2 linked regions of the Callithrix jacchus genome follow. The protein of the gene in region 1 interacts with the protein of each later gene in a pairwise test. Links are inferred from orthologs where the notes say so. Each region holds a gene or a part of one and is shown in the gene's direction. Other genes may lie near its edges. The genes, in order: ARL6IP1 and SNX10.

What was found.
Region 2: the proteins of ARL6IP1 (region 1) and SNX10 interact in binary tests that used the Homo sapiens proteins (3 or more experiments, as listed by UniProt). The two-hybrid records come from large-scale screens. The link is inferred for Callithrix jacchus from reciprocal best matches to the Homo sapiens genes ARL6IP1 and SNX10.

What each region holds. Positions count from the first base shown.
Region 1 is NC_133513.1:20,241,538-20,251,888, reverse strand, and holds the start of ARL6IP1 (ADP-ribosylation factor-like protein 6-interacting protein 1), read left to right. Parts: upstream 1-5,266; 5' UTR 5,267-5,347; coding exon 5,348-5,383; intron 5,384-7,882; coding exon 7,883-8,016; intron 8,017-8,973; coding exon 8,974-9,093; intron 9,094-10,351. UniProt on the Homo sapiens protein: Positively regulates SLC1A1/EAAC1-mediated glutamate transport by increasing its affinity for glutamate in a PKC activity-dependent manner.
Region 2 is NC_133512.1:31,749,226-31,759,581, reverse strand, and holds the start of SNX10 (sorting nexin-10), read left to right. Parts: upstream 1-3,461; 5' UTR 3,462-3,542; coding exon 3,543-3,596; intron 3,597-10,356. UniProt on the Homo sapiens protein: Probable phosphoinositide-binding protein involved in protein sorting and membrane trafficking in endosomes. Plays a role in cilium biogenesis through regulation of the transport and the localization of proteins to the cilium.

The sequences.
Region 1 (10,351 bases):
AAGGAAAGAGCCATTTTTTAAAATGCCGAGCAGGGCAATGCAAGTACAGCCAAATATTAGACTTGATGTGCAATCTTAGGTCCTTTTTAATCTGGGGTATTATAGGCAGTACTTTAAATTGAGAAGTCTTCCTGGCCTATTTTCCTCCACATTTTTGTAATTAACTCTGGGGGCTTACTTGTTTTGGCAGTACTAAAATCAAAGGAGCTGGTTCTTCTTTTCTCTCAATTATTTTCATATGAAAGCACCTACGGATTAGCCTGTTAGTCCTATTCAGTCAGAGACATCAAATACCAGTGAATGCTTTACTATTAGCACATTTAAGCATCTTTGTTTTACATAGAGTATGAAAACCAGTGTTTCATTTTATATCTTGTTGAGCTTGTAAAATGCCAGCAGTTTAAAACTAGGACTTCACTCCTCTCCTTAAACCAAGGAGGTAGAATTACTAATACAAGTGTTAAAGAAGGTAGATTTTCTTTTCAGTATTTGGGTAGTATTAGAAAGATTTCTCCCACATGGAAGAGCTAGTGAGTGTCCCAAATTTTTCAAAACGTTGGGGAGGGGGAAATTCACTGTATTATGAAACCCTAAGGGTTTGTTGCACTTCCTGCTTTTTATTTAGGTCTGGATAAAAATATCACCATCCTTATTTACAGAAGGACAAAACTGACTCTTAACGAGAAAAGCTTTATTAAGTTCAAGGGCTGCAAAACATGAACCACTTAGGGTCTTTTGCTTTTCCATGGGAATTTGACTGGACTTAGTAGAAAAAGTTTTCGTTGTGCCAATGTAAAAGTGTCATACAATTAAGTAGATTTTTGAAGATGGTAAACTTAAAAGAATTCTATGTTGTTCTGAAATGCAGACTTTTGGAATGTTTTTATTTGAAAACAGGCTAATAGTTTTTTTCTTTTCTTGACAGTCAAGGTTTCAGCTCCTCTTTAAAGTTGTGTCATTTTCTGGTTTAAATTTCCCTTATATTTCCACCTGTAATGTCAGTGGCAACAACATTATACTTCACTTACTTGTTAATTTACTTTTACCCTTATTCTAAGAGCAAGTTGAGTTGAACTGAATCTTCCTTGTCCTAGTAACATTGTATAAATAGTGGCTTCTCTGTACAAAAGGTTGTAATGCCTCCTGATGGATATAATTTTGTGACTGTATTTAAAAGTTGAATAAATCACACCAGCTTCCTGAAAATGTTCATAATGCATCTTTTGGAAAACAAAAATACATGCCTACTTTGTGCATATTTGCATTAACATGGCAAAGATTGTATGAAATACCTGTTTTTCAGAAAATAAAGATTCAGTCGCAGAAGATACAGCATTTAAGTTCTGAATTTATTGGTCAAAGTAGATTCTAGAAAACTTGGAACCTTTTGGAACCTGGGTAGCTTTAAAAAAACAAACAAGAAAACAGTCTCCCTGTGTTGCCCAGGCCGATCTTGAACTCCTGGGCTCAAGTTATCCTCCATCTTTGGTTTCCCAAAGTGCTGGGATTACAGTCCTGAGCCAAGCCAAGCCTAGCCATTTTTTTCTGAATAGCATTAATACCTCAAAAAAAAAAAAAAACCCCACAAAAAACCCCTAAATTCTCAGAAAAGTAATTATTTTACTCTCAAACTTCTGTTGTATTTTTGAACAGTGGAAATTTTACTTCAATGATAAAATTCTGCTTTAAGGTCCAATTTATAAAGCTTAATTTTGGCAATATTTAAAAACAGAATTCCCATAGTTCAATAGTGACAGATGCATTCCTTGTGTGAAACCTCTGAAAGAAAATAGAAAATGTCCAGCAGGCTTTGTATCTTGAAGATTGCATTTGGTGCTGCTTGATGATGTTAGGATTTATGTTAACTGCTTAGTCATCTGGCACATTTCAAAAGATCACATCCTGTCTCAGTAGGAAAAAAAAAAGCTCTAAAGAAAGCTACCTTAAGGGTGGGTGTTTTTAATCATTAGACCAATAGGAAATTTAGTGAGAGATCATTTGAAAATAGGTATGGGAACACATTATTTGTTAAGTAACAAAAATAAATACTAAGTGAAGAAACTGCTGCTTGAGTTGGTTCTGTTTTTTCACCTACTCTATTCCACATGCTGGTATTAACAAGTCTTAAGTAGTACGTGGAAAACTTGGGTGAAAACGAGAAGCGTACTCTGCAGCAAAAGCTGGTTTCCCAAAGTAGAAATGTCAGTTTGTTTTTTTTTTGTTTGAGACAGAGTCTTGTTTCATAGCCAGGCAGGCACCAGGCTGGAGTGCAGTGGTACGATCTCGGCTCACTGCAACCTCCCCCTCCCGGGTTCAAGCAGTTCTCCTGTTTCAGCCTCCAGAGTAGTTGGGACTACAGGCACGCGCCACCACACATAGCTAATGAAATGTCAGCTTTAAACCTAATAACCCATAGTCTCTCTTTTGGAAGTGGCTATTACTGTAGGTCTAGCAAGATTATGCACCCAGTGCTCAACATGTTCATGAATTATGTGGCTGCAGATTGCCTGGATCTTTTTATTTGTTTGTTTTGAGACAGTTTTTGCACTATCGCCCAACCTGGAGTGCAGTAGGTGCAATCAAGTCACTGCAGCCTCAATCTCCTGGGCTCAAGGGATTCCTTTTTTTTTTTTTTTGAGACGGAGTTTCGCTCTTGTTACCCAGGCTGGAGTGCAATGGCGCGATCTCGGCTCACCGCAACCTCCGCCTCCTGGGTTCAAGCAATTCTCCTGCCTCAGCCTCCCAAGTAGCTGGGACTACAGGTGTGTGCCATCACGCCCAGCTAATTTTTTTGTATTTTTAGTAGAGACGGGTTTTCACCTTGTTTGACCAGGCTGGTCTCGATCTCTTGACCTCGTGATCCACCTGCCTCGGCCTCCCAGGGATTCCTTTTTTTTTTTTTCTTCTTCGAGGGTGTGAAGAAGAACCTGCTCGTCTCAGACTCCATATCTTTAAAATCTTCCCAAATAGCGTCTCTGTCAACTGGCTGTATCCTGCCTGTAAAACTTCTTTTCCCCAACATTCTCCAGAGTGGCAATTTATTGAACAGTCAGCTTCCGTTACAAAGGCTTTTTTTCTCACGTGCTTCTCCCTGATTCAGATGTTTCACTCCACCTTCCCCCAAAAGACCCACAGCAAACCAACACCCTTCCATGAAATTCACAGTGCTCCTTCCCTTGCCCAGCTCTCTTAGGGGCAGTATGCGGCCTGCAGCTGTGTTCTCTCACATTGATGACTTCTTGAACTTTTAAGAACCTGGTGGTTACTTAAGGAACATTTTAAAAATAAATTTAAATTCAATGGCACAATAGGTAAGAGATTGGAAGTTAAAACCTGTATAAAAGGATAAAAGGTTGGAAGTTGCGGTGGCTCACGCCTGTAATCCCAGCACTTTGGGAGGCCGAGGCAGGTGGATCAAGAGGTCAAGAGATCAAGACCAACCTGGTCAACATGGTCAACCGCCTCTACTAAAATACAAAAAAAAAAAAAAAAAAAATTAGCTGGGCATGGTGGCGTGTGCCTGTAATCCCAGCTACTCAGGAGGCTGAGGCGGGAGAATTGCTTGAACCCAGGAGGCGGAGGTTGCGGTGAGCCAAGATCGCGCCATTGCACTGCAGCCTGGGTAACAAGAGCGAAACTCCGCCTCGGAAAAAAAAAGGTTGGAAGTTAAAACTATAGTTAATTCACCTGAAACCTGATCAGGACAGCATTTGGCATGATTCTGTTTGTATTGAAAAATAAAAAATTGGCCGGGCGCGGTGGCTACTGCACTCCAACCTGGGCAACAGAGTGAGGCTCTGTCTCCAAAGAAAAAAAAAAAGCACTTGTTAACTGCATTTGAAATCCTGGATAGAAAACATGTACAAGTGTCTCAACACAGTTGCTAAGCTGCTGACTTCTAATCTTCTAATGGTAGAAAAGTCGTATCAGAACTATCCTTTTGGCCGGGCGCGGCAGCTCACGCCTGTAATCCCACCACTTTGAGAGGCCAAGGCGGGTGGATCTCTTGAGGTCAGGAATTTGAGACCAGCCTGGCCAACATGGTGAAACCCCGTCTCTACTAAAATACAAAAATTGGCCGGGCATGGAGGCAGGCGCCTGTAATTCCCGCTACTCCGGAGGCTGAGGCGTGAGCATCACTTGAACCCGGGAGATGGAGGCTACAGTGAGCAGAGATCGCGCTAATGTACCCCAGCCTGGGCAATGGAGCGAGATTCCCCCGTCTCAAAAAACAAAAAATCCTTTTGGAAAGGGAGCGCGTAGTTTAAGTAACTTAAGCACCCACGTATAATAAGCCACTTAGAGGGCGGTGCATTTTTCACACGTTCTCAAACCAGGCCTGGGTTTTTCCACTAAGGCCTTATTTCTACTGGGTAGAAGAGAAACATTGCAGCAAAATCTACACAAAGAGCTCTTTTCATTTGTCCTCAAAACCTCGCAGGGCTGGGCGCGGTGGCTCAAGCCTGTAATCCCAGCACTTTGGGAGGCCGAGGCGGGTAGATCACAAGGTCAAGAGATCGAGACCACCCTGGTCAACTTGGTGAAACCCCGTCTCTACTAAAAATACAAAAAATTAGCTGGGCATGGTGGTGCGTGCCTGTAATCCCAGCTACTCAGGAGGCTGAGGCAGGAGAATTGCCTGAACCCAGGAGGCGGAGGTTGTGGTGAGCCGAAATCGCGCCATTGCACTCCAGCCTGGGTAACAAGAGCGGAACTGCGTCTCAAAAAAAAAAAAAAAAAAACCTCGCGAGTCGCAAATCGGGGCTAAACGGCTCAGGTGCCTGACGAAGGCACCGGACCGTAGAGGGAGTGGATCCCAGTCGCCTAGGGGCCACGAATAGGTTAAGTGTCGCAGGCCCGGCGTCCTCCGCTTCAGGCGGCGCGGTATCTCTCCGAGGAGCTCTTTTTTCGGAGAGGCTCCTGGGCTGCGAGAGCCAGACAAAGAGGGTTAGAAAGCGGCCGCGGAGGCCGGAACTGGGGAACCATTGCGGGACAGCGCCCCCTGCGGCGGCCGTTGAACCGCTACCGACAGACCTGGGTGGGATGTCGCGCAGTCTCTGAACGCTGATTGGCCACTCCGTGTCCCCTCCCCTCGGCCCGACACCGCCTCTGTCTCCTTTGACCTCGATTTCAAGCCATGCGCTGAACTTCGGTTGGTCCGGCTTCCCGGAGGCGTGAGCTCAGCCTGTCCAATGAGGAGCGAGTATCGCGGGGGCTGTCGGGAAGGGCAGACAACCCATATAAGCGGTCTGCGGGGCGTTCCCGTGCGCTGCGGTCGCCGTGCGAGTCCTGGTAGGAGGTTTCGCTGGAAGGTGGCCTGAGCTTAAGAGACAGCATCTCAGAGACGATGGCGGAGGGAGATAATCGCAGCTCCAACCTGCTGGTGAGTCCTGGCTGCCTGTTCCCCGGGAGCCAAGCGAGGCCGCCGGACGTCCGTGGGCTCAAACGCCGCGGCCTCTTCCCTGTCACCCGCCGCGGGCCCGTCCCTTCTCTCCTGGCGCAGGCGACGATGCCTGGCCCTGGGTGTCGATCCCTGACCTTTCCTGGGGACGGTGCTCGACGGGGCGAGGAGGGCGGGTGATTCCTAACCGCCAATAGGGGTCGAGGAGGAAGTGGGAGGCCTGGGGCTGCGACACTAGCCTGGGGTGCCGCAGGGGGCAGAAGGCCTCTTGGGGCCTCTCCAGCGCTTTCGGGGCCCAGGCCCCAGCCGTATTCGGCTTTCCCCGTCTTTGATCTTAACCTGGCTGTGCTTGCTTTCTTTTCCCCCTAAAGCTTGGAAGGATAGAAGGTCAAAAGGCTACTGCTGAGAATTTCTGTTAGAGCTGCTACAACTTAAAACCGCAGGGAGGCTGCGAGCTCACCGTGGGGAACTGAGAGAGTGGGGTACAGCTGAACAGACAATGGCATGTCTTGGCGTTTGTCTGGAATTTGGAAGTCTGGCGGGGGTGGGGTCACAGGACGACTGGAAACAACTTGAGAGTAATAAGCGGGGATCCGAAGGAACTGCAGTGATGTTAGGTATCATAGGCGGGTAAATTTCATTTGTTACGAATTTAAGTGCACCATGTAGGCAGAAAAAAGATACCCTTACATATTCTCGGTTACCCTTCCTTGTGACTGCAGGTCACACACCAGCAATGAAAAACGGAACCAAAGAACTTAATTTTGGGCTTTTGAACTTCCAAGAGCCCAGGTGCTGGCCAATGACGTGACTTCAGGGCAGTTTTGATTGTGCATTATTTTCACTTCATATTTGCTTTTAGAAATGCTTGGTTTGTTCCTTTAAACACACGCCTTCTAACATAGTTCCCAGCATGGTTCCTTTTAAGAGGATTAATTGAAGCACAAAGAAGTTGCTCATGCCCTGTTGAAATGACAAATCCTGGGCTAGGGCTCTTGCTTTGCAGCAAAGCAGTATAACAATAAGGAAAGCAAAGCCTTTGGTCTTGGGTTTCCTGGATGCAAGTCTGTTAACCTCTGTTTATCTGTTTCCTCCTCTAAAATGGGGATAGTAATAGCACCTTTTTTAGGGTTGTTGGGAAGATTAATTGAAGTATAAATATAAAATGCTCAGCAGAGTTCCCACTGCTGGGAGGTAGCCTCTTCTTTCATTAGTATTAAGCATGGAAATAAAGTCAAAAATATTGAGATCAAAAGAGTGGTCAGCGTGGCACAGATAGAGTGGCTTTGTTAAGATGAAGTGTCTTTGTTAAGATTCTGTCATTTGCATGCTTCCCAGTGAATGACATTTATAGAGACAAGGTCTCAGGCCAGGCTAGTCCCATACTCTTGAGGCTCAAACAATCCTCCAGTCTCTTCCTCCTAAAGTGCTGGGATTATAGGTGTCAGCCACTGCATCCAGACTCAACACAAACACTTGGGTTTCTTCTAATTTTTTCTTCCTGTATCAAAACGAGTTTTCAGGGCTTTTGCCACATTAGCTCATCCTAAAGGTCCACTTTCGGCTGTCAGAGTCATAGAGAAATTTGAAGTATAACCAGAATGACCTCCTAAGTGGTAGGAAACACTGTACTGAGGAGATACATTGAGCCTAATATGCCACTTTAATTTAGTGAAAGTAGTTTTCCTTAATTGTGCAATGAATGCCAACATCTGAGTGATTCCATTACACAAAGAGCTATTTTAGAAATTGAATGCTGTTCAGGAAAGTCTTTCCTAATGGATTTAGAAGGGTTTAAATCAATAAGATGACAAAACAGATCAATTCTAACCATCCGAAATAAACAAACTTAAAGCAATTTCGTTTTTATTAATACTCTAGGCACTGCCGCATGATTCCCTGTATGACTTTAAGAAAGTAAACTATTTTGAGCTCACTTTCTTTAATTGTAAAATGAGTCTAATTATCCCTACCTTGTGGCTCTCTATAAGGATCAAGTTACATCATGTATGTAAAGAATAGCCCAGTGCTTGGACCAGAAAAGTGACCATTAAAAGGATATTTAGGCTGGGCCTGGTAGATCACTTGAGATCGAGAGTTCAAGACCAGCCTGGCTGACATGGTGAAACCCCCATCTGTACAAAAAATTAGCCGGGTGTGGTGGCATGTGCCTGTAGTCCCAACTACTCCGGAGGCTGAGGTAGGAAAATTGCTTGAACCTGTGAGGCAGAAGCTTCATCTCACCACTGCATTCCAGCCTGGGTGACAGAGCAAGACTCCAGAAAACAACAACAACAACAAAAAAACCATTGGGTTTTCATCTTTGCAATTGCAGTTTTTCAGATACCAACTTGCTTTAAAATGGCAATTTGGTTAAGAGGTTATTTTTATGTATTTGGAGCCTTAAAATAATTGAATTTTGTGAACCACAAAGATGTTGAGAGTGGTAAAACAATTGCTTTAAATGTTGGCGGTATTTAGGCTGCAGAGACTGCAAGTCTGGAAGAACAGCTGCAAGGATGGGGAGAAGTGATGCTGATGGCTGATAGAGTCCTTCGATGGGAAAGAGCCTGGTTTCCACCTGCCATCATGGGTGTGGTTTCTTTGGTGTTTCTGTAAGTGAACTATCAGATTACTACGGGTTGTGTTTCTTGTTAATAAAAGCCTTTTAATATATAGCTTTCATTTGTGGGTGTGTCTTAAGTCTTTTGTAATATATAACCCAGAAAGAATGTGTTTTCTTATAGGCACTTCTAGTTTCCAGAATTTGTAGTACTTACATAAAGTAAGTACTTTTGGTGACCTAAAGCACTTGGGTAAATCAGTGACTCTCAAACTTATCCTTACACTTTTTTTTTTTTTTTTTTTTTTAATTTAAGTTCTGGGATACACGTGCAGAACATGCAGGTTTGTTACATAGATATTACATGTGCCATGGTGGTTTGCTGTACCCATCAACCTGTCATCTACATTAGGTATTTCTCCTAATGCTATCCCTTCCTTGGTCTCCCACTCCCCTAAACTATTAAAAAGTACTGAGAACTCCAGGCCGGGCGCAGTGGCTCAGGCCTGTAATCCCAGCACTTTGGGAGGCTGAGGTGGGTGGGTCACAAGGTCAGGAGATGAAGACCATCCTGGCTAACATGGTGAAAGCCCATCTCTACTAAAAATACAAAAAATTAGCCAGGCGTGGTGGCATACTCCTATAATTCCAGCTGCTCAGGAGGCTGAGGCAGGAGAATCACTTGAACCTGGGAGGTGGAGGTTGCAGTAAGCCGAGATCGTGCCACTGCACTCTCCAGCCTGGGTGACAGAGTGAGACTCCGCCTCAAGAAAAAAAAAAAAATTACTGAGAACTCCAAAGAGTGTTTGTCCATTGATATTTACTTAACCATTGCAGCTGTGATATCAGCATGTCACCAAGCATCTGGAAAGCCACTTGTGAAAAAATTAGAAAAAAAATGGCAAATATCTCTGAGAAGCAGTGGATTAAGTGAATAATTAAGTTAGTTCTGTTTAGTTAGGAATAATAATGACTATGTTTTTCTAAACTTTATTGATTTTTTTAACAGGATTATCTACTATCTAGACCCATCTGTTCTTTCTGGCGTTTCCTGTTTTGTTATGTTTTTGTGCTTGGCTGACTACCTCGTTCCCATTCTAGCGCCTAGAATTTTTGGCTCCAATAAATGGTAGGTAGCATAATGATTTGGCAGTCTAATTTCTGTGTAGTTACTGAACGTGGTGGCTGTGATTAGTATGCCGTAAATAAGCAGAGATAATTTTCTAACCTCAGACACCTAAGCATCAGATGTATTGCTTTCATGTGAAGAATGTCTTAACTGATTTGAATATGAATATGAACTATGAGTTTTCTGTTCTTTTATGGTAACTGTACATATACATTTTTACAGTTCCGTTGATATAATAGCCAGGCACAGTGTCTCACGCCTGTAATCCCAGCACTTTGGGAGGCCGAGGCAGGTGGATCACCTGAGGTTGGGAGTTCGAGACCAGCCTGACCAACATGGAGAAACTTTGTCTCTACTAAAAATACAAAATTAGTCAGGCATGGTGGCATGTGCCTGTAATCCCAGCTACTCCAGAGGCTGAGGCAGGAGAATCGCTTTAACCCAAGAGGTCACCTCTTGGGTTACCCAGGCTGGAGTGCAGTGCACTCCAGCCTGGGTAACAAGAGGGAAACTCTGTATAAAAAAAAAAAAAAAAAAAGATAGTATAATAACTTTACAAATTATTTTCGAATGAATACAGAAAAGGAAATTGGTAGATTTTCATTCACATTCGTTCAGCAATTATTTATTAAATGTCTACAATTATTTATTAAATGGCAGACACTGTTAAGTACTGTGAAATATTTTGACTTTTAAGTAGATTTTGTGTTAAGGCTGAGATACTTAGTGAAGCAGTGGAATTAATAAAGTGGATTAACAAAGGAATACCAAGTGTTTCTGAAGTTGTTCAAACTGGATACACATGAGTTGCTGATTTTATTTATGCCATTCTGAAATGGTTGCTTAAGAACTCAGATATAGTTAACTGGATAAGGATCATATTATTTAAAAGTATTTTAACTTCCTGTAGCATGTTGAATTTTGATTCAAATAATCAGCCAAAATAGACGTTGGAATACATTTTTTTCTTCTCAGCTGCTGTTCTCCCTTGGCTGTTTATTTTATTTGGTTAGTATTCTCTTTGTGCCTTTGGTTGGTTGTTTCTCAGAGGATAGCAAATTGCAAAATAATTCTTTAAATATAATGATTTTAAATGTGGACCTTAGGGATCTTTAGGAACAAATTCAAAGTTTGCTTATTACCATATAATTAACAATGTTTGTTTAAAGTTGTTTCCCCCAACAACAGAATGGATTCATGTTAGGAACTATCCTTTGAATTGTTTTTCACTTGTGGTAATGAATCAATGCTGTGGCTT
Region 2 (10,356 bases), on another chromosome or scaffold:
GCTGGACACATAGGCAGTCAGGTGGGGTCCAAGGGCGGAGCTTCTGGTCATCCTACCAAAGGAGTCATGGGTAGAGTAACCCTCTCAGCACCATGTGTGACAGTGTGCAGAGTCACTTGGTATAGCTAGAATGATCGCCTGCTTCAAATCCATTGCTCTTAGAACAAAGTCAAAACACCTTCACATGGTCTCTAGCACTCTGCAAGATCCAAACCTGCTTCTTTCTCCAAACTTCTCTCTTGCGCCCCACATGCCACTCAAGTGCACTTCTTGTTCCTCATTTCAGAGCTTATTTTAGAGCCTTGAATGTTCCATGTGCTCTCACCCCCATGGACTTTTACACATGTTTTTTTCCACTGCCTGGAGTAATCTCTTCCCCTAGACTTCACACTGTATTGACTGGCTAACTTCTCCTTATCCTAGAAGTAAAGAAGCAGCTTTCTAAACCTTTAACTATAAAAGATATATTTATCTAGTCACCTCCCCAGCAGCAGCCTGTCGTCAATGCCAGTTAGAAGTAGAGGGGGTTTAGGTCAAGCCTTTCAATATCTTAGTGTCTGGTTGTTTAGTGGAAAGTAATTCAGGTTCCACCTAATGGAATATGTAAGCACCAAATGCAGTAGGACTGATTGTTTCGGGATCTAGACTGAGGGTACACTCCTCTCAGCACCCACAGCAGACATTACTAATTAATCATGAGGTTGGCACATGAATTGAGATTTATTTACCATCCTTGTACAAGATTCATACAGCCTGGGAGTGACATCTTGGTTCTATCTAATTGGTAGTATTAACTTTAACATTTAGTAATTTTTTTTAACATTTTGGGGGTGAGGAATCAAATGTAGTCGCTGTTGTTAAAACAGCTTTATGACTGTAATACATCTAGAAAGAGGAGAAAAGGGAGTGAGAATCTCCCTTGTTAGTTAAACATGTTCCATTTGCACGTTGGTTTGAATTCCCAGGAGAGCAGTATCCTAGCTGATGGATCTTCTCCATAAAAAGGCCTTGGCATTGGGCCATTGTGAAATTAAAATGAATTCAGATTCATTCATGCGTGCAACTTTAATTTACAATTAAAATATTATGGTTACATATTTTAATAAGAATAATTAGATGGACCCAACTGAATCAACTCTTCTGTTTAATGAGACAGAACCCAGACTCCAAATGGAAAGGCAGGTGCCTGTGACAGGAAGCACGTTTCAGACAGTGTCTTTTGTGGAGCTAGGCATTTTCGTTCTTTTAATATTCGAATGTCCAGACTGAGCTGTTTGATTTTTCTGCCCTACTCAGGATGGTTGCCTCAGCTTCCCGGAACTCATCTTGTGGGGTGTATGTGTGAGCATTTGCTCCGGCTGGACACAGTCCATTTCATGGAGTTGGACATTCTCTCTCCTGGGCGCCTGTTATGCTGCTGCTCCCTCCATAAGGGCACTGTGCTCTTTCCTTGGCCCAGGGCTCACTTACTATAACTAAACTGTTCCTCCCTGTGTGATGTGACCTGAAAAGCAGGCTGAAACCTTTTTTGGATGTATGTGCGCATGCATGCATGTCTCCCCTGCTCTCCTGGATCATGATGGCTGCATTCTCCTTTTAGAGATTTATCCCTTTAAGACAAGTGCTTTTCCCCTTCCAAAATGCACATACTTCATAGTAGGAATAACAGCAGCTTCTAGGCACTACCAGTTGTTGATGCCTTAGCAAAGATACATCCATCAGTTCTTTGGCAGGGAATATGCTGAGTAGGGCAGGCCGGAGTGGGCCCCAGAGAGTTGCACAAACCATGAGGACCCCACCACTGAGGGAGGAGATGGGGTGCTATAGGGAGAGCAGGCAGGGAGGGATATGTTGCCATTTTGGATGAGCAGCCCCTAGGGTTAATATTAATATGTTCGAGATATGCTTATGCTGACCTGTGGTAATATTTTAGACTTGCTCTGTCTAGGAAAGCATGCAAGATATTGGGAAATGGACTGGACACTGACTGGGCTGCAACTGATGAATATAATTAACAAATAAATAGTATTATCTAGGATTCTGTGATGCTGGGTACTTCAATGGGAAGCAACAAGACAAAACATTTTCTCACTCCCCAAAACCTAAATTTGTTCCCCTCTCCCTCCTTTCTTCTTCCTTCCTTTTTCATCTCCCAGCCTCTCTACATCTTTTCTCAGTCTCTGTTATACTCGGTTATTAAGTGTTCCTATTTGAAGAAATAGTTAAGTTTCCACAAGAGGCAATTTACAGTCTTCTGTAAGCAAAGAAAAGTAGCTGGGAATATTGTCTTCACACATACACACTAGGTTTTAGAGAATGCTGCTGTCATTCTGAGCACTACATTTGTGTTACAGTTACTGTGAGGACTCTGATATTTTTTTCTGAGCCTGTCCCAGAGAGAGCTCTTCCTTCTTTTTTTTTTTTTTAACCCTTCTTCCAGATTTTAAAATAATTCACTGCAGAACATTTTGGAAAAGTGTACAGGAAAAATAAAACTTGGGGATATTTCTTTTTAGTCTTTTTCTATACATATGTATATGTCATTTTTAGAAAACTGAGATCATATAGAATTTATAGTTTAATATCTCATTCTTCCAGATTAGTGTTCTAACACATTTCAAGAAATACTTCACCAGCTCTGTTTAAATTAGAAGTGGCTTAAAAAAAGAAAGAATTAGTAAGCATAAATTCATCTTCACATTTGTTTAGAAATGAAAAAAGAATACCTTTATAGTGGAGAAATCTGACAAATACTTCCTCAGCCAGGTGATCACTGTTAACACCCATGGTGATGCTACGTTGATAGCATGTGCCCTTGAAGTGATAAAAATGGCACTTTACCCTCTTAAATGGGTGGCCTTCCTTCCAAAAACCTATGACATCAATCTAATAATGAGAAAAGCATCAGATAAATCAGAGACATTCAGAGACATTCAGCAAAATACCTACCAGGGCTCCTCAAATTGTCAAGGTCATGAAAAACAAGGAATACCCTAGAAACTGTCACAGACAAGAGGAGCCCAAGGAAACACAATGACTAAATATAATGAATGTATCTTGGGTGGGATTATGGAACAGATCAATGACATTAGGTGAAAACTAAAGAAATCTTAATAAAATATGGACTTCAGTTAATAATAATGTCAATATTGATTAATGAATTGTGATAAATGCAGCATACTGATATAAAATGTTAATAATAGGAGAAGTTGAGTGTGGGGTATATAGGACCTCTCTGTACCATCTTCATAATTTCTGTATATCTAAAACTGTTTAAAATAAAAAAGTTTATTTAAAAACAAATATCATTGACATGTATATGCTCACATAAAAAGATTTCTGTAAGATTGTACAGTGAATAAACCAGTAAACAAAATATACACCTATATAAATACTCCCATCAGTGTTAAAAAATTGCATGAAGCTGGGTGTGGTGGTACATGTCTGTAACTCCAGCTACTTGGCCAATGCAGGAGGATCACTTGAGCCTAGAAGTTCGAGGCTACAGTGAGCAATCATGAATAGCCACTGCATTCCACCCTATGCAACGGAGTGAGACCTCGCCTCTTAAACCCCCGAAACAAAAAATACACAAGGTAAAGATGATAATATAATGGTAGAGATGAAAATATAATGAACCCCCATGTATATACCTACCACCCAGCTTCAGCAATTTACTAACGCATTATTAACTCATAGCCAAGCTATACCCCTCCCCCACCTATTTCCTCCTGCTACCACAGTAAATTATTTGGAAACAAATTCTAGATATTATATAATTTCATCTGTAAATATTTCAGTATACATTTCTAACAAATGACCTTTTAAAAAATGGACCACATTATCTCATGTTAAATAATTAAACAATTGCTTCATATCATCAAATATTCAGTGTTCAAATTACCTTGATTATTTTGAAAAAAAATTATATAGCTGGTTGTTCTAATTATCTATTTAATTAGGATTCAGATAAGGACCACACATTGCATTTGGTTGATAAGATTGTTTAAAGTCTTTAATTCTCTCTTTTCTCCCTTTTGCAGTTTATTTGTTGAAGAAATTAACATAGTTTGCCTTATAGAGATTTTCATATTTTAGATTTTGCTGATTGCATCCTTGTGGATGCCAATTATTTCTTGTTGCAAAAGACGAGTTTTTTTTTTTTATTTTAACTGCACTTTTCCTAATGTGTTATGAGATATGAAAAGGTAACTCTTGCTGATTTGGGATACTACTTGTGTAAAGAAACTTGCAACATCATGAACTGTTACAAGTCATGTAAAAGGCAGGTCTAGCTAAATCTCATTCACAGTTGTTTATCCTGAAGTAATAAAAAGCTTTTCAAAAAATCATCATTCAGTACCACCAGAGGATGGTATTTAAACATACTCCATGCTATAGAGTGGCAAGTAATATCACTTGTCATATGTCTTTTAAGTTATTTGTTACAGCTGTTTTAGGAAATAAAGGAAGGTTATTTGATATATTCATTCTGCCTTTCCATTGTTATTTGTAAAGAATATAGCATGTAAAATATGCCAGATTTTAGTTGTGAGATTGTTATATGGGGGTCCTGAATAGCACTCTGGTGATTAAGACATTGGTAAATTCTATAATCATTAGTTGTATAGAAAAGTACCTAGTGCATTGTTGGTGCACAATATATTTTAAGTGAATGAATGAATGAACGAATGAGTCTCCAGTTTAAATACATGAATCTTTAAAGCACTACTTTGAAGTAGAAAAAAAATGTCCCAAGAAGGAAGAACAAACTGAGACAAGTTTACATTTTTATGATAGAAAATTCTCATCAAAGCTATGAAAAATTAATATTCACTTAACACCTAGACATTCTGCTTTATTAGCTTCTGTCTTTTGTGATATTTCTGTAATCTAAGTAAATATTTTTACAGTTAACACCTACTCATTTTTACTCTGCTACAAAGATTCAAGCTAGGCTATGATGGGAAATTTTAAAAACACATCTATCACAATGGCTAAAATAAAAAATAGTGTGGATCCTCATAGAAACTGTAATAGGTATGTATGCTATATCACCGTGGGGTTAATTTGTATTTTCCTGGTGTTTAATGATATTAAACATCTTTCCACATGATTTTTGCCGTCTGTATGCCCTCTTTGGGTGAAATGTGTCTTCATGTCTTTTGCCTGTATTCTAAATTGAATTCTGTTTTTTAAATATTGAGTTTTTAGAGTGAGTGAATGAGTTTATTTTGAGACAGGGTCTGTCTGTTGCTGAGGCTGGAGTGCAGTGGCGTGATCTCGGCTCACTGCAACCTCCCACCCACCCACCAGGCTCAAGCAATTGAGTCCCACCTCAGCTTCCTGAGTAGCTGGGACTACAAGTACAAGCCACTCCACTCAGCTAATTTTTAAATAATTTTTAAATGTTTCATAGAGATGGGGTTTCACCATGTTGCCCAGGCTGGTCTTGAACTCCTGAGCTCAAGGGATACTCCCACCTTGGCCTCCCAAAGTGCTGGGATTACAAGAGAAAGCCACCTCATCGGTCTAAGAGGTTATTTAAATATATATATATATATATTCTAAATGCAAGTCCTTTGTGGGATGTGTAATTTGCAAATATTTCTTCCAATTTGTAATGTGCTTTTTTTTTAACCTTATTCATGGTGTCTTTTGCAGAGCAAAGATTTTTAGTTTGATGAAGCTTAATTGATTATCCTTCTGTGGATTGCCTTTTTGAGATCAAGTCTAAGCACTCTTCTCCTAGTACTAGACTGAACGGTTTTCTCTGAATTTTTTTTTCTAAACGTTTTCTCTGATGCTTTATGTTTGACATTTACATCTGTGGTTTATTTAGTGTTGGGTTTTGTATAAGGTGCAAGCTTTAGGTTGAGGTTCATCTCTTGACCTATGGATGTCCAGTTGCTGCATAATCGTTTGTTGAGAGGCTTTTTCTTCTCCACTGAATTTTTTTTTTTTTTGCGCCTTTGTCAAATGAGCATATTTGTGTTGGTCTGTCTCTGGGTTTTCTGTTCTGCATTTCACTGATCAACTGTGTCTTAACATTGGGAAGAAGGCTTCCTCCCACTTTATTCTTTTTCAGAAATTTTTTGGCTATTCTAAGACCTTTCCTTTTCTATATAAATTTTAATATAAGCCCATCTGTGTCTTTAAAAAATTCTTGCTGAGATTTTTTTGATAGGAATTATGTTAAACTTACAGATCAATTGGGGGAGAATTTATCTCTTTACTATGTTGAGTCTTCCAATTTATGAACATAGTAGTCTCTGCTTTGATTTCTTTCAATAGCATCTTATGATTTTCAGTATAGAGAACCTCTGCCTTTTAAAAAATCTTACTTGTAACCAGTTGTTTAATTCTGAAACATTTAATATGCACTTACTGTGTGCTAGTACCATGCTTGGTGCTAGAAATGCAAAAATGAAATACAAAGCTTTAAGAACCCATAAGGACAGAGTTTGAAAAGAGCATGTTGTTTGAACTGGTATTTTAGCTAATAAAAGCGGAAAAAACTTCCACGTCCAAAACAATGCAATTACAGTAAAATTGGAAATTGCCTAATATTTATTATTGCTATAAAAATTGCTAGATAGAACATGTTTGAGAGTACAGTCTTTGAGACAAGACAGATCTGAGTTTGAAGCCTGGCTCAGCCTGGTCATTGACTTTGGGCAAGTTGCTTAAGCTTTAGAAGCCTCATTTTTAAAATTTGGAAAGTAGGATAAGAATATATTGAGCTCTGAGGGTTGTTGGAAAGATTGAAGGAAAACATTTGTGAAACAGTGCAATACCTGCCACATGTCAAGTGCCCTTGTATAAATACAATACAGTTATTTTTATTATAGTTTCATTTCATGTACGGGCTAAGAAAAAAAGGACAGGGTAGAAGTGGATTATGGTCAAGCCGGAATGGGGGAAAAACAGGGTACATTGAAATCAAAGGGTGATTATCTTAGGAGAATACAGGAATTAGATCTTCAAAGAGTCTAGGAGTCTGTCTTTCTTTAGAAGTCTTTTCACATGGAGAACAGTAGGGACAGTTAGTCTAAATTTTTAATTCCACTCTTCCTGGCTTTTTCATACTGCATATAGTCATTAGGCCCAAGAAGTCATTAAAGTGTTTAATAATGTTATTAAATAGACTAACTGCAGCTGCTGAAGCAATTTTCCTAGGAAATCCATATGATTCTAGGTAAGGGGCTGTGGAACTGTCCTCTGTGGCTGACAGCCTGTCAACATTCCCTTGAAGGATGGCAGGCAGTGTCGTGAGGGATGCGTCTAATTAAGAGATTAGAGGTGAACCTTGGCTTCCTGGGTGTGCTATTTGTAGCTGAGAGTATGGTGAAACTTCACTAATTCCTGCTAATTGCAGAGTGGGGGAGGGGGAGACCCATGTGAATTATAGAATATTTTAAAATAAATGTACTTTTATTACTTTCAAGTACATATTTTAACTCCAACTAGGCTAACAAATTGTTGCCTGGTGTAAGTCTTGGGGGACTAGGTTATTGAAGCTATCAGAAGGATTTTAAATTATTTCTATGTAAATAGGTGCTTCTGGAGTTCTTCCGGGTGCTGGAAGACAGTTTATTTTCCCAGATCTTAAATATTGCTCTTGTATCCTTATGCTGTTAATTGGCACATCCTTAGAGGAAGGGGTTTGTTAAATTAAGATAAACTTTAGACCAGCTGCTAAATAACTTATCATTAATTCATGGAGTCCAAGAATCCAAGTAGATGATGTTTTAATTTCAAGTGAAGTTTGATCTTCTTTCCCTGAAGGCAGTTTGTTTATTCCTGCAGGCATTTATTTATTCATTAAATGATACTAATAGAATGCATTGGATGTATCAGGCATTCAAGTCTTACAAGACAGCCTAAGCTGCCCTACAGGAGCTTAGCGCCTGTTAGAGGAGGCCTGCAGGTAATTACAGTACAGCACGGTAGGTCTGAGAAGGATTCCCAGGAAAAGTGGTGACCAAATTGCATTTGAAAAATGAATTGGAGTTAGCAAAAAGTAGTAGAGGAAAAGAGAAGATTAAAAAAAAAATTAAAAAGGGCAGTAGGGTGGCCCAGCAATCCAGGCAAAGAGAACAGCTTGGTCAAAGGCGTGGATGTGTGAAGTGGCATGTTGCATATGGGGACCTACACTTAGTCTTTGAAGATAAACAGAGTGAAAATCGTGAAAGGCTGTATTGTACTAGCTGAGGAGTTTGGACTTGATCTTGAAGGTTATGGGGCAGGCTTTGAAGGATTTTCAGGAGGAAAGCAGCGTCATCAGTTACGTGTTTTGGAGCCATTCTTGTCTTCATGTGGGGAATGCATTGGATGTGGGCCCAGAGATAAATTAGCAGTTCTTGCATTAATGTTGGGAAAGAAGTCCGTAAACCCAGGGAACAGCAGAGGGAATAGTTGTTGGTGGTTCCAAGGAGAACGACTCTGAAGGACTTGGTCTTTGTGAATTTGAGAAATGAGTCAAACACAGAAGTTTGGGGGCACTGGGTTTCTCGCTGAGGTTGGTGGGAGATGCTTTTCACTGAGAAGGGAAGCAGAATGATGTGGGAAGGGAATGGGCACAGCATGCTCAGGGGACTTCTAGGTGGACCAGGCTAGAGGTTGGATCCATGGGAGAGGTGCCTGAACTGGGATGGAGCTTTGGATGGGGACCATCAACTCATTCGAGGGGGTTGAATGTGTTTGGATGAGGTCACCCTAGAATTGTAATAGGATGCAAAGAACAATAGCCTGGGATGCTCTCAGGGGCACAGAAATGTTTCAGGGAGGAGAAAAGGAAGAAAAGTTTGCCATCCACAAGAGAATAGTGATATTTAGCACACCAAGTTAAAGATTTTCAGGAATGAAAAAATATGTGGAATCTTAGTGCTGCATTGAATTTTGAGTGCATTTAAAATGCATTGCTGTGTTCTTTGAAGATATATTTGTTTCCAGTATGGTTTTAGAATATGTATTCAACATCCCCTTCCCTTTTAGTCAAATGTTTTATCTTTTTACCTAAAAGATAATGCCAAAGCAATTCTTTTTTTCAACAACAGATTTGTGGCAAATTGACAAACGTGTTTTCTTTTTGTTTTATTTAATCTGCGTGAAGCCTCGCTCTATCAGTAATGGGTGCATGTCTTCTTCTGTTAATGTGGAACACTGAGCTGTTGGAAATAATCTCCCTTTTTGGTATATCCAAGAACTTCTGCCTCTTAAGTGAAAAAGTGAAGCTGCCACCACATTCTGAGGGAATGTGGCTATCAGGTGACCTGATGACCGGGAGCTGTCCGCGTTGTCTCTGTGAAAAGGGTGCAGGATGACTTGGTCCTCTGTTGTCAACATCCTCCTTTAACCACAGTGAAGGCAGGGCCGGCTTCTCTGTTAGAGCCATTGCCCAGGGCCATACTACTTTTAGGGGCCCATGAAAATGTCTTCTTTCTCTTTTTTTTGAGGTGGAGTCTTGTTCTGTTGCCTAGGCTGTAGTGCAGTGATCTTGGCTCACCGCAACCTCTGCCTCCCAGGTTCCAGTGATTTTCCTGCCTCAGCCTCCTGAGTAGCTGGGATTACAGGCACCTGCCACCACATCTGGCTAATTTTTGCATTTTTAGTAGAGACATGGTTTCATCACATTGGCCAGGCTGGTCTCGAACCCTTGACCTCATGTGATCCTCCTGGCTCAGCCTCCCAAAGTGGTGGGATTACAGGCGTGAGCAACCACACCTGACCCCATGAAAATATTTTAATTCCTTTTATTTATTTCTTTCCACCTTATATTTAATACCCTGATTTAATTGCTTTTAACATCAGAATAATAAAATGAACTTTCAGGATAAGAAAAGGTTTTACTGTGTAATATTAATATATTCACCCTTGTACCAGTGTAGTGTTAAAGTGTGGTTTTTAATATATTATTTTTGTCTGGGCGTGGTGGCTGACGCCTGTAATCCCAGCACTTTGGGAGGCCAAGATAGGCAAATCACTTGAGGTCAGGAGTTCAAGACCAGCCTGGGCAACGTGAAGTGAGACTCTGTTTCTATTAAAAAAAAAAATACAAAAATTAGCTGGGTGTGGTGGTGAGATGCACCTGTAGTCCCAGCTATTCGGGAGGCTGAGGCAGGAGAATTGCTTGAACACTGCAGGTGGAGGTTGCATTGAGCCAAGATTGTGTCACTGTACTCCAGCCTAGGTGATGGAGTGAGACCCTGTCTAAAACAAACAAACAACAACAACAAAATATATATATACACATGCACATGCACACACACACGTGTACATATGTATATATGTATATATATGTGTGTGTATATATACATATATGTATATATATGTGTGTATATATATATGTGTATA